Linked DNA regions of Drosophila melanogaster. The protein of the gene in region 2 interacts with the protein of the main gene of each other region in a pairwise test. Each region holds a gene or a part of one and is shown on either strand. Other genes may lie near its edges. The genes, in order: CG8366 and Gem4b.

Region 1 (4,153 bases), on a different chromosome or scaffold from region 2:
GGCAAACAGAAACCGATCCGTCAGCAAAGTGGCTACAAAAGCACGTGAAGAATAGAGTGAATAGGGTGCTGCCCCAACTGGCTCGGATTACGGACAAGTGCGTCATACTGAAATGGTGCAACGGCGTTATACAAGACCACTGGCCACTCAGACAGATCTTACAAATCCGATTCGCTGTCAAACGCTAATTCAAGTTCAACCCATATCAAATAACAGGCTTGTTCGCACAACAAACAATTACGCGAGCCAAAAAGGAAAAAAATACACAAAAAAATATTATTAGCCACTGTCGCGCACGAAGTCGACCAAGGAAGCGAGCGAGCAGGCAGGCAGGCAGGCAGGAGGAGTAGGAGGTCAGGGTGGGCAACGTATACCCATTACCAGTTTTCCTATTCGACAGTCTCGAAACTGAATTTTGTGCTTATATGGCCATAAGCTTAACACAATAATAACAACGTCGGTCGAGTCAGCGTCAACGGCATCGACATTTGTATAAAGACAGTCGTGATTCATGATCTGCGACAGCCGCACAACAAGTCCTTATAGTCCAAGCACATCGCGACGTGACCTTGAGCAATTCGACCCACTGATCGCCGAACATTTTCTTTCGCCCGCAGCCGGAGTACTACAAGGACGCGCCACACTTCCGGCGAATTGGAGACGGACCCGAGTACAGGCTGGAGATACCCAGCGCCAAATTGGATTTCACCGGCACCTATTCCGTGATAGCCAGCAATTGCCATGGCGAGGCCAAGGCTGTAATATCGCTACAAATATTCGCCAAAGGTAAGCAGCACAGTGAATGTGTATGTATTTATTGACCTGGGCACTGGGGGTAGATATTCAATAGGCGGGGAAAGACAACGTCCCGCCAGAAGTCTTCAGCCATGCTCAGCAAACTGCTAACGAATTCCGGATCCGCTTGTACCCAAACGTAGTGTAGTGCTCCGTTGCTCTCGAACGTGGGACTTAGCACGCAGTAGAGCGCCTTTTTAACATTCGCCGCAAACATCTGGATTTGTATTTGGGCCATGTACTTGGGTGCAATAGATTCGCGTGCCTCGAGGTACTTCTCGAAGTCCTCGTCAGTCTTTGGTGATTTGATTTCGACAATGTGATCGTCCGTGATGCCATCAGGGGCGGCGCACAGGAAGGGGAAGTTCTCGTGCAGGATCAGACCGCATTCTAAGTAGTTCTTGTTCTCCAGCTTCTCAGTCTGTTTCAATATGAAGCGCTTGTGCTCCTTCTGCTGCACCCGATCCTCGTTATTCTTGTCACGTCCTCTGCAAAACATCATATTGAAGATTTGATCGTCATCATCAGAGGTTTTGCGGCTTATGATCATGTGCATCATGGAGCAACGGATGCGCATATACTGTACCTCCACCCACAATCGGGATTTGTATTTGCTTCGCGTTGCCTCGTACAGACTTTCGATAATACCCGTATGTGCCTGTGCCTCCATGTGTTGCACATAGCTGGACGGATCGACGACATTGTACTCATTTGCTCGGAGCAGCACATGGTGTACGAACATGGGCTCGAACTCATCGGTGGTCTCCACACATTGCCGGTAGAGCGCCGAGTCCCTGCCACAGTCGGCCAGTTCATTCAGAATGGTCACTAGGAAAGCCTCTCCCTCGCTGGCGCTAAGTTCTTTCGAGTTTAGTTCGCTTTCCATTCGCACATCATCCTTGGGAATTATATCACATATTCGAGTAGCAGTTGTGGGCTCCGGTTGCACCAGATTTTCCAACTCGTGGCCCCAAAACTCCACCACAGCCGAGGGATTTCGATCTGTGCTCTTGTTTAGCAGCCAGAAGGTGAAGGCCACGATGTGGGCACAAGTACCTGTAATGTACTAAAGATTAGGAACTAGACATTAGTGGCAAATGGAGTCATTCTCACATGCTGCAGTGCACAGGCTGCATTGACCGTCCATGATCATCTGAGCACTTTCGACGATCTTAAGCGATACATTGGCGTGAGTTACCGTGTTGGCGAAGTCGGTGGCAGAAAACACGAGTCCCTTGAGTTCGCACACGTCGCCATGTCTGCGCACCTGGACGTAATCCGTGAGGAGATCACATCTATTCGTTGGTCTGTTGGCAAAAATTCAATTTTTAATAGAATACACAGTAGGTATATGTGCGAACGGGATGGCACTCACATTTGTTTTGATTTCTCAGATGCGCCGGATAGACAAAAATTGTACACCATTCCGCTGTTCAAAGCGGGTATATTGTGTATGTCTGCTTTGCGGAAGCCGGGTTCCAGGTCCATGGGCACAATTATCATGCCCCTCATTTTGTTTTAACCAAAATTTGAGTACAAGAAGTAGAAAATTAGATGGTGTGCTAAAAATAAACATTGGGCCACAGCTGCTATCGATTATCGATATATTCGCACTCTTGCAAGAATCTGACAAAAATAGCCAAGACACTAATCACCACTGCTTGGCAAGCAGTTTAATGGGCGCCAATTTCGAAATGCAATATTTTTTTACTAAGTCAAAGTGCTAATGCATAATATCTTTTTTTCAATAGATATACTCAACAAAAGCCGCATGGATAAAGTGCACACGAGACATGGGTAAGTTCAAGCTTATTATCAAGATATGTTGTCATTAACAAGCTTTAACAATTAATCAGCAACATCGAGACCCTTCCCCGATTCGTTCGCAACTTGCGAAACCTCCGCTGTTGCGATGGGGATGCGATATCGCTGGAATGTCACGTTGAGGCCGATCCGGAGCCGTTCATCATCTGGGAAAAGGATGGGCATGTTATGCCCAGCGATCGGGACTACGTGATGTCTTTCGATGGAACCAAGGCAACGCTGAGCATACCGCGCGTATATCCAGAGGATGAGGGCGAGTACACGTGCGTGGCCAAGAACTCGGTGGGTCGCAGTCTCTCTTCCGCCTGCATTATAGTGGATGTGCCCGAGGAGAAGGAGAATATGCTCAGCCGCCAGCTAGCGCGTCCCAGTGGCCTGCTCTCCGCCCACTCCACGCCCCGTTCTACGCCGAGATCCACGCCCGCCAGAAGTTTCTCTCCCCTGCGCCTATCGTACCGCACCAGCAGCATCGATCTGTCCGGCGTGGCGGAACGCAGGCGTAGTGATGCCCGGAATGCCATCACGGCGCCAAAGTTTCTCGCCATTCCCTACAATCGCGTCGTCGAGGAGGGCGACAGTGTGCGCTTCCAGTGCGCCATCTCCGGACATCCCACACCGTGGGCGACATGGGACAAGGATGGCCTGATTGTGACACCCACGCCGCGCATTGCCGTCAAGGAAATCGATGACCTTCGCATCATAGAGATCGATGAGGTGACCTTCGACGATGCCGGCCTGTATCGCGTCACGCTGGAGAACGATTTCGGTCGTATTGAGGCCACCGCTCGCTTGGACGTCATCCGCAGCTCCCGCTACTCCAAGTCGCCTTCGGTGCGCAGCGTGCGTGCCTCCTCCTCCCGCCGTAATGCCCACTTGTACAGGCGCATCATGGGTCCATCCACAGGTGGGTGCTGCTCCTTGCCCAATTTACAGCTTAACTATTTCAATTGATACCATGCCACCCACAGCAATTGGCGGACGCATGGCTCTGGCAAGTGGCTATCGGGGTTCGTCGGTGCCCTCGGTGAGATTCTATCACAACGACGTGGAGCTCGAGGCCTCGGAACGAGTTCACATCCTGCTGCAGGACTCGATGGCCCTGCTCATAGTGGACAATGTGACGCGCGAGGATGAAGGCCAGTACACCTGCATCATAAGCGGCGACCACGATCCCCTCATCACTTCCACCACCGTCACCTTCCACGACTCGAATACGGAGATTCGCAGGCGTCGTGCTGTCATCACGGAACGACTGCCCGAGATTACTAAATCGCTGGAGGGCGAGGTGATCGATCTGTGCTGCTCCATCGAATGCGATGAACCCTACAGCTACGTTTGGTTGCGAAATGGCGAGATTCTGCCAGACAGCGATGAGTTCAAGTGAGTATAAATCTTTAGTTCATTGAAATATATTGAGTTGTAATAACTTGAATACATAATTAGTTATAAAAACATTGTTAAATTGCTCAGTTTTTTATAAGCACCCAATTTCCAGCGATTAGCTTGGATTGAATAATAAAAGCGAATGGTTTCC
Region 2 (6,033 bases):
TAATAGACTCTCTGATGTAGATAGATACTAATATGACTTGTCCACTGCTTGCTATGATTTAACTTTAACTTTATTTATAAACATTTTCATATGATATTTTGTATTTTGCTCAGCTGAAAATTAAATGAAGATATTTTATAAAGTATTGTAATGTATTATTCGATAATTAATTATTTGTATTATTATTGTAATGTTTTATTCGATAATTAATAATTGACATTATAAATATTGCGACTTCTCCAAAGTCAACTGCAGTTTTTTAAACAGTGGTCCTATTTAGCAAATGTATTTAAAATAATGCGATTCGCATGCGGCATTTGAGTTTGAAATCTTTTCGATACTTGTCAAGCATTGGTCGTTAAATTACCTTGTAAAATATATATAGTGTTTTTTAAGACAAGATATTTTTTCTATTTTTTTTTTTATTTAGGTAATTTGAAAATGTTATTAATAACAATTTGCACCAAAATTTTCCTTTCCCTGAATAATGCCATTCAGCTTTTGACAGAATATAAATTAGTTAAATTTATAACATAACGAGTACATGAAATTTAAAAATGTATTAAAATAAATTTTCCTAGTTTTAAGTTACAATTTTGCAACAGGAAGCAAAGCAGTCGAAGTAATACATAAAAATACGAATAAAAATAAGAACATGCAAAATTACAATAATTTTAAGCTTGCCAAAGCATTTATTTAATAGAACACAAATTTGTATTTGATGGTAGTATTACATATTTTATGTAAATATAGTCGGCCTTAAGGACACACAAAGTTGTAAAATAACCTGATATCAAATTATTCTGATGTTCAATCATAGCGTTTTGTATATTATATATATAATACATAATAATACGAAAAAAAAAGAACATGCAAAATTTTATTAATTTTCAGCTGAATAACTTCACTTGCTTGCCAAAGTATTTTTAGTAAGACAAAAAATTTGCATGGTAGTGGTACATTTGTTATGTGCATACAGTCGCCCTTTTAAAGGACATACAAAGTTGTAAAATAATCTGATATCAAATTATTCTGATGTTCAATCCTAGCGTTATGAATATTATATATGTTTTTAGTCATATAGAGATCTGACTGCCTAAGAATTAAAGTGTTGGACAAGCGGCGGAATTTCGATTTGGCTTAAGAAAATTACACTTCTAACAGCATCTCCTTAACACTTGGCCGCCTGCTGTTCCTGGATATTTATGCCGAATCGCACAGCGAAGGCTTTACTAGCTAGCTTCATAATCTCGTTGCGAATGGAGAATGGAGCCTTGGCCACAACGGCCATCAAATGATCCCAATGCTGGCGCTTCGTGATGGTCTTATTGTGTTTGGCGTGGCTCCGGAAGGCGATCAAATATTCTCGAAATAGGAATCTAAAGGCCATGAAAGCGGACTCGCTGTTCACCTTGACCACTGCATCGCTAAGATCGCCCATAACAGCACAATCGGCCCTTTTTTTAAGGAGCTTGTTGAAGAGATCGTTAGCCTCCTGTGCACTGGACTGAGTTAGCAATTTGAGAAAGGAGCGTGTGTCCTTTAAGGTGTCTTCTTTAAGGTAGATGAGCCAAAAGCCCTTGTGCTTTAAACTGTTCACTTGGTTCAAGATCCTCTGGCGGCATTCTGTGAAAGAGCAATAATTAGTAGGCTTTCGTCTTGGACTTACATTTATAAGAGCGCACCAGTGCCTAGGAATGTCAGATGAGACAGACCGTCCTGCCAATACCACACCGCCAGTTCTAAATTATCCACCCGGAAATCTTCAAAGGTGGCCAAGTCCCAGCGTAGGGCATCAATGGTTTTCATGACATGCGAGATCAGCTTCCAGTGTTTCAAACGCCACTCTGGCAAGCTGGCATTCAGATATGTGTAGTGCTTGGCCACCTTGACAGCTGGTGCATCGTCTCCGTTCTCCAATTTCGGGTGCTCCTTTTCGAGTGCATTTAACTCTGCAGTGCCTCGGGTGATTAGATTGCTTTCACCCAGACTAATCTGCTTGAGCAGTTTCAAGATTAACTGCAAGCTGGGCAAGTTCATGGGCTCTATAAACTTGGCCAAACCGTAGGCACACGCGTCTAGGAACCTATTTTGCGCCTGCCTAAGCTCATCCTCTCCGTAGGGACACCGTCCGTCTTTCAAACTAACGCACAGTTGTCGCGCTGACGTGTAGAGACCGTTGAGGATCTGTCGGTGGCCATATAGGTAGAGTGTAAACTGCAAGGCATACGGCTTTTGAAGTAGTTGCTCGTTCACCAAGATGTTATCGGCACAGGCGGAAATATGAAAAGCAGCATGCTTGGGACAAGACTGAGCTATGTGCCAGAATAGCTTCGAGAAGCGAGTATGCGTCACGCCCAAGTGGGAGAAATCAATCCAGGTCTGTCTTGCGTTCTCAAAGCACAGTACTAGAAATTTGGTTATCGGGAAGCGCTTATTATAATCCAATTGATTAAAGAAGCGTATGCGACGCTCCCGATGATCGGGAGCCTTGAAATTAAATCCTTGGGTAACGTTTTGCTCATCGCGCAATAGCAGTACTTCCATCTTGTCCTCGACATTTAATTGCATAAATAAGGGACGCAGTACTAGGCTTAGCAGCTCTTCGTAATCATCGTTGGACGAGGTCTCGTCCTCGTCATCCCCCTGATTTACTTCCGTAACGGATATGCCCTCGTCCTCGACCACCATTTCGGACTCCACCACCTGACCCAGGAAACTGAGTATTATCTGGGCATGTTTCTTGGTGAGCATAATTAAATGATTTGCCATCGTTTCCACGCACTCATCGTTACCAAAGGCTATGAAGCGGCTAAAGAGATTGTCCAGCCCGGCGAGCAACTCCTCATCGGTGGCCATACCGGAATCGAGAAAGACTAAGAGTTCACCCATTCTCATCTCGGCAACGCGCTGCTCCAATGTTTTTGCTGCATCCGCAAAGCTCTGCATCTGCTTGCAAACCGGATGCTCTCCGAGCAACTTATCTGATTGGAGTACTTTAAGCAATTCTGCCGTCTGTCTACAGATTAGCTCCTGGCAGTTATACAAAGCACTTTTCGATTTCATTTCATGCCAATACATATACGTGTCTACGCTAACGAGCTGAAAGATACGCTGCAGAACGTCTAGCAGTATTTGGGCGAAATGCCGCAGATCAGGCATGGGATCGCTTGAGTTGCTGTCACTGATGTCCTCGGTTATTTGGCTGTAGACGGCGAAGCAATTTGGTTTCTCCCGCTTTAATGGATCATTGAGGGTATACAAAAGGACTTCTATAAGGTGATCCATAGCCTTGGCCAGGTAAATCTTTCGAGTGGATGGACGCGGCAGCGTATGGAGGCGCTGTTTAGAGTCCAAGATATGACGATGTTCCATGCAGGCTATCTGGCGCAGCAGTTGCTTATTTTCTGCGGGCAAATTGCAGTTGACAATTGCGCGACCGGCTGCTCTGAGGGCGGCAGAGAGCAGCGGTAGTGTTTCCACGCAATCTGAATTAATGACCGACAGAGCCTCATTGAATGCCTCAAAATACTGGATGGTCAGCCAGCGGGGTCCACAAGCAAGGAATTCCTCCAGCGGCTCCATGAGACAGCAGTTAACGGCTATTGCGATGGTCAAGAACAGTGGGATAGGCGGAAGCTGGTTACACAAATGCATGACATTGGCGCTCCACTGCGATTTGCACAAGAAATAGTCGTGTGCGGTGTTCAGCACCAGGTACACCAGTAGTCCACGCAGTTGATTCATAGCAAAAGGATCCATTGTGTCTGGCGGCTGTATGATTAGATCGTGCTCCTCCAGCAGGTCCGTCACTTGGTCGCAGATCTTCTCAATGTGCTCATCGTTTCCTGAGAACAAACAATGTTCATATTTGGGCACTAACCTCTGGTACTTCACTTACCACTCCAGTAAATCATATCTTTCAGACACTTGGCCTGTTCGTTGTTGTCATGGAATATTTTCTTCAGCTGGACAAACAACTGGCAATTGTCCAGCGGGTGCTTCTCAGCAGTTATCATCGTGCTGCCGAAATTTCGCGTTTCGTCAAAACTCTTCCGAAGGAATTCAATTTTATGTGCGTCTTCTGTCAGATGACTATCGAAAATCGATAGTTTACCGGTGCGTACCGATTATCTTGCGTGCAAGGAATATTTTTTGAAAATGAAAATGTCCCTACAACAAAAAATTTCGCTTTGTAATAGACTCTCTGATGTAGATAGATACTAATATGACTTGTCCACTGCATGCTATGATTTAACTTTAACTTTATTTATAAACATTTTCATATGATATTTTGTATTTTGCTCAGCTGAAAATTAAATGAAGATATTTTATAAAGTATTGTAATGTATTATTCGATAATTAATTATTTGTATTATTATTGTAATGTTTTATTCGATAATTAATAATTGACATTATAAATATTGCGACTTCTCCAAAGTCAACTGCAGTTTTTTAAACAGTGGTCCTATTTAGCAAAAGTATTTAAAATAATGCGATTCGCATGCGGCACTTGAGTTTGAAATCGAGAGATAGATTTGGAATTCGTACATAAGAATACGAATAATAATAAGAACATGCTAAATTACAATAATTTCAAGCTTGCCAAAGTATTTATTTAATAGACAAAAAACTTGATGGTAGTATCCGCGCGTTCTAACGCACTGTCTCTCTTCTTTAGACGCCGTTCCGATTGCGCGGCCGCCTCCTGACGGCTCGACTCGCGCCCGTACTCTCCTCGACTATCCTCGCGTACGTGTGGCTCCTCGCGTGTTGTGACTGACTGCCCCAAGCTGCACTTGCGCCGTTCCTTTATAGGCCGCGGGGATCCCGTTATTTTCCCCTTTGCGCGTCCAACTAATTTGCCGTTAGTTCACAATGTGTGTCCTCTTGTGCGTGTCCAAAGTCCGCACCGTTACTGTTCGACCTCCGTGCCCTTGGCAGGCTCGAGTCCAAGGTCCAGCGCGGTACCGTTAGTTCACAGTCTCTCCGCTTTCCTGGCGTCCAAGGCCGCTCCCCTGCACCCAGATTTGTGGGGACGTAGACTCCTCACACATATTATTCTGATGTTCGATCATAGCGTTTTGTATTTTATATATGTATGTATGTATATAATACATAATTATACGAATAATATGAAGAACATGCAAAATTGCAATAGTTTTCATCTGAATAACTTCACTTGCTTGCCAAAGTATTTTTTAAATAGACAAAAAATTTGCAAGGCAGTAGTACATATGTTATGTGCATACAGTCATCCTTTTAAAGGACATACAAAATTGTAAAATAATCTGATATCTGGATTGAACATCATCCTAGCGTTATGATTATTATATATGTACGTCTTTAGTCGATTAGCGGCGGTGTTTCGATTTGGCTTAAGAAAATTACACTTCTAACAGCATCTCCTTAACACTTGGCCGCCTGCTGTTCCTGGATATTTATGCCGAATCGCACAGCGAAGGCTTTACTAGCTAGCTCCATAATCTCGTTGCGAATGGAGAATGGAGCCTTGGCCACAACGGCCATCAAATGATCCCAATGCTGGCGCTTCGTGATGGTCTTATTGTGTTTGGCGTGGCTCCGGAAGGCGATCAAATATTCTCGAAATAGGAATCTAAAGGCCATGAAAGCGGACTCGCTGTTCACCTTGACCACTGCATCGCTAAGATCGCCCATAACAGCACAATCGGCCCTTTTTTTAAGGAGCTTGTTGAAGAGATCGTTAGCCTCCTGTGCACTGGACTGAGTTAGCAATTTGAGAAAGGAGCGTGTGTCCTTTAAGGTGTCTTCTTTAAGGTAGATGATCCAAAAGTCCTTGTGCTTCAATTTGCTCACTTGGTTTAAGATCCTCTGGCGGAATTCTGTGAAAGAGCAATAATTAGTAGGCTTTCGTCTTGGACTTACATTTATAAGAGCGCACCAGTGCCTAGGAATGTCAGATGAGACAGACCGTCCTGCCAATACCACACCGCCAGTTCTAAATTATCCACCCGGAAATCTTCAAAGGTGGCCAAGTCCCAGCGTAGGGCA

The links.
Region 1: the proteins of Gem4b (region 2) and CG8366 interact in a two-hybrid assay, tested with the Drosophila melanogaster proteins (one large-scale study listed by BioGRID).

The regions. Positions count from the first base shown.
Region 1 is NT_033778.4:15,953,272-15,957,424, reverse strand, and holds CG8366 (uncharacterized protein), read right to left. Parts: upstream 2,386-4,153; 5' UTR 2,308-2,385; coding exon 2,171-2,307; intron 2,103-2,170; coding exon 1,909-2,102; intron 1,852-1,908; coding exon 815-1,851; 3' UTR 789-814; downstream 1-788. Other genes in the region: Strn-Mlck (Stretchin-Mlck), read left to right, coding at 618-786, 2,547-2,592, 2,652-3,523, 3,588-3,999.
Region 2 is NC_004354.4:3,939,046-3,945,078, reverse strand, and holds Gem4b (gemin 4b), read right to left. Parts: upstream 4,233-6,033; 5' UTR 4,020-4,232; coding exon 3,902-4,019; intron 3,849-3,901; coding exon 1,686-3,848; intron 1,627-1,685; coding exon 1,172-1,626; 3' UTR 814-1,171; downstream 1-813. Other genes in the region: Glos (gaulos), read right to left, coding at 5,410-5,864, 5,924-6,033. UniProt on the Drosophila melanogaster protein: Component of the survival motor neuron (SMN) complex that catalyzes the assembly of small nuclear ribonucleoproteins (snRNPs), the building blocks of the spliceosome, and thereby plays an important role in the splicing of cellular pre-mRNAs.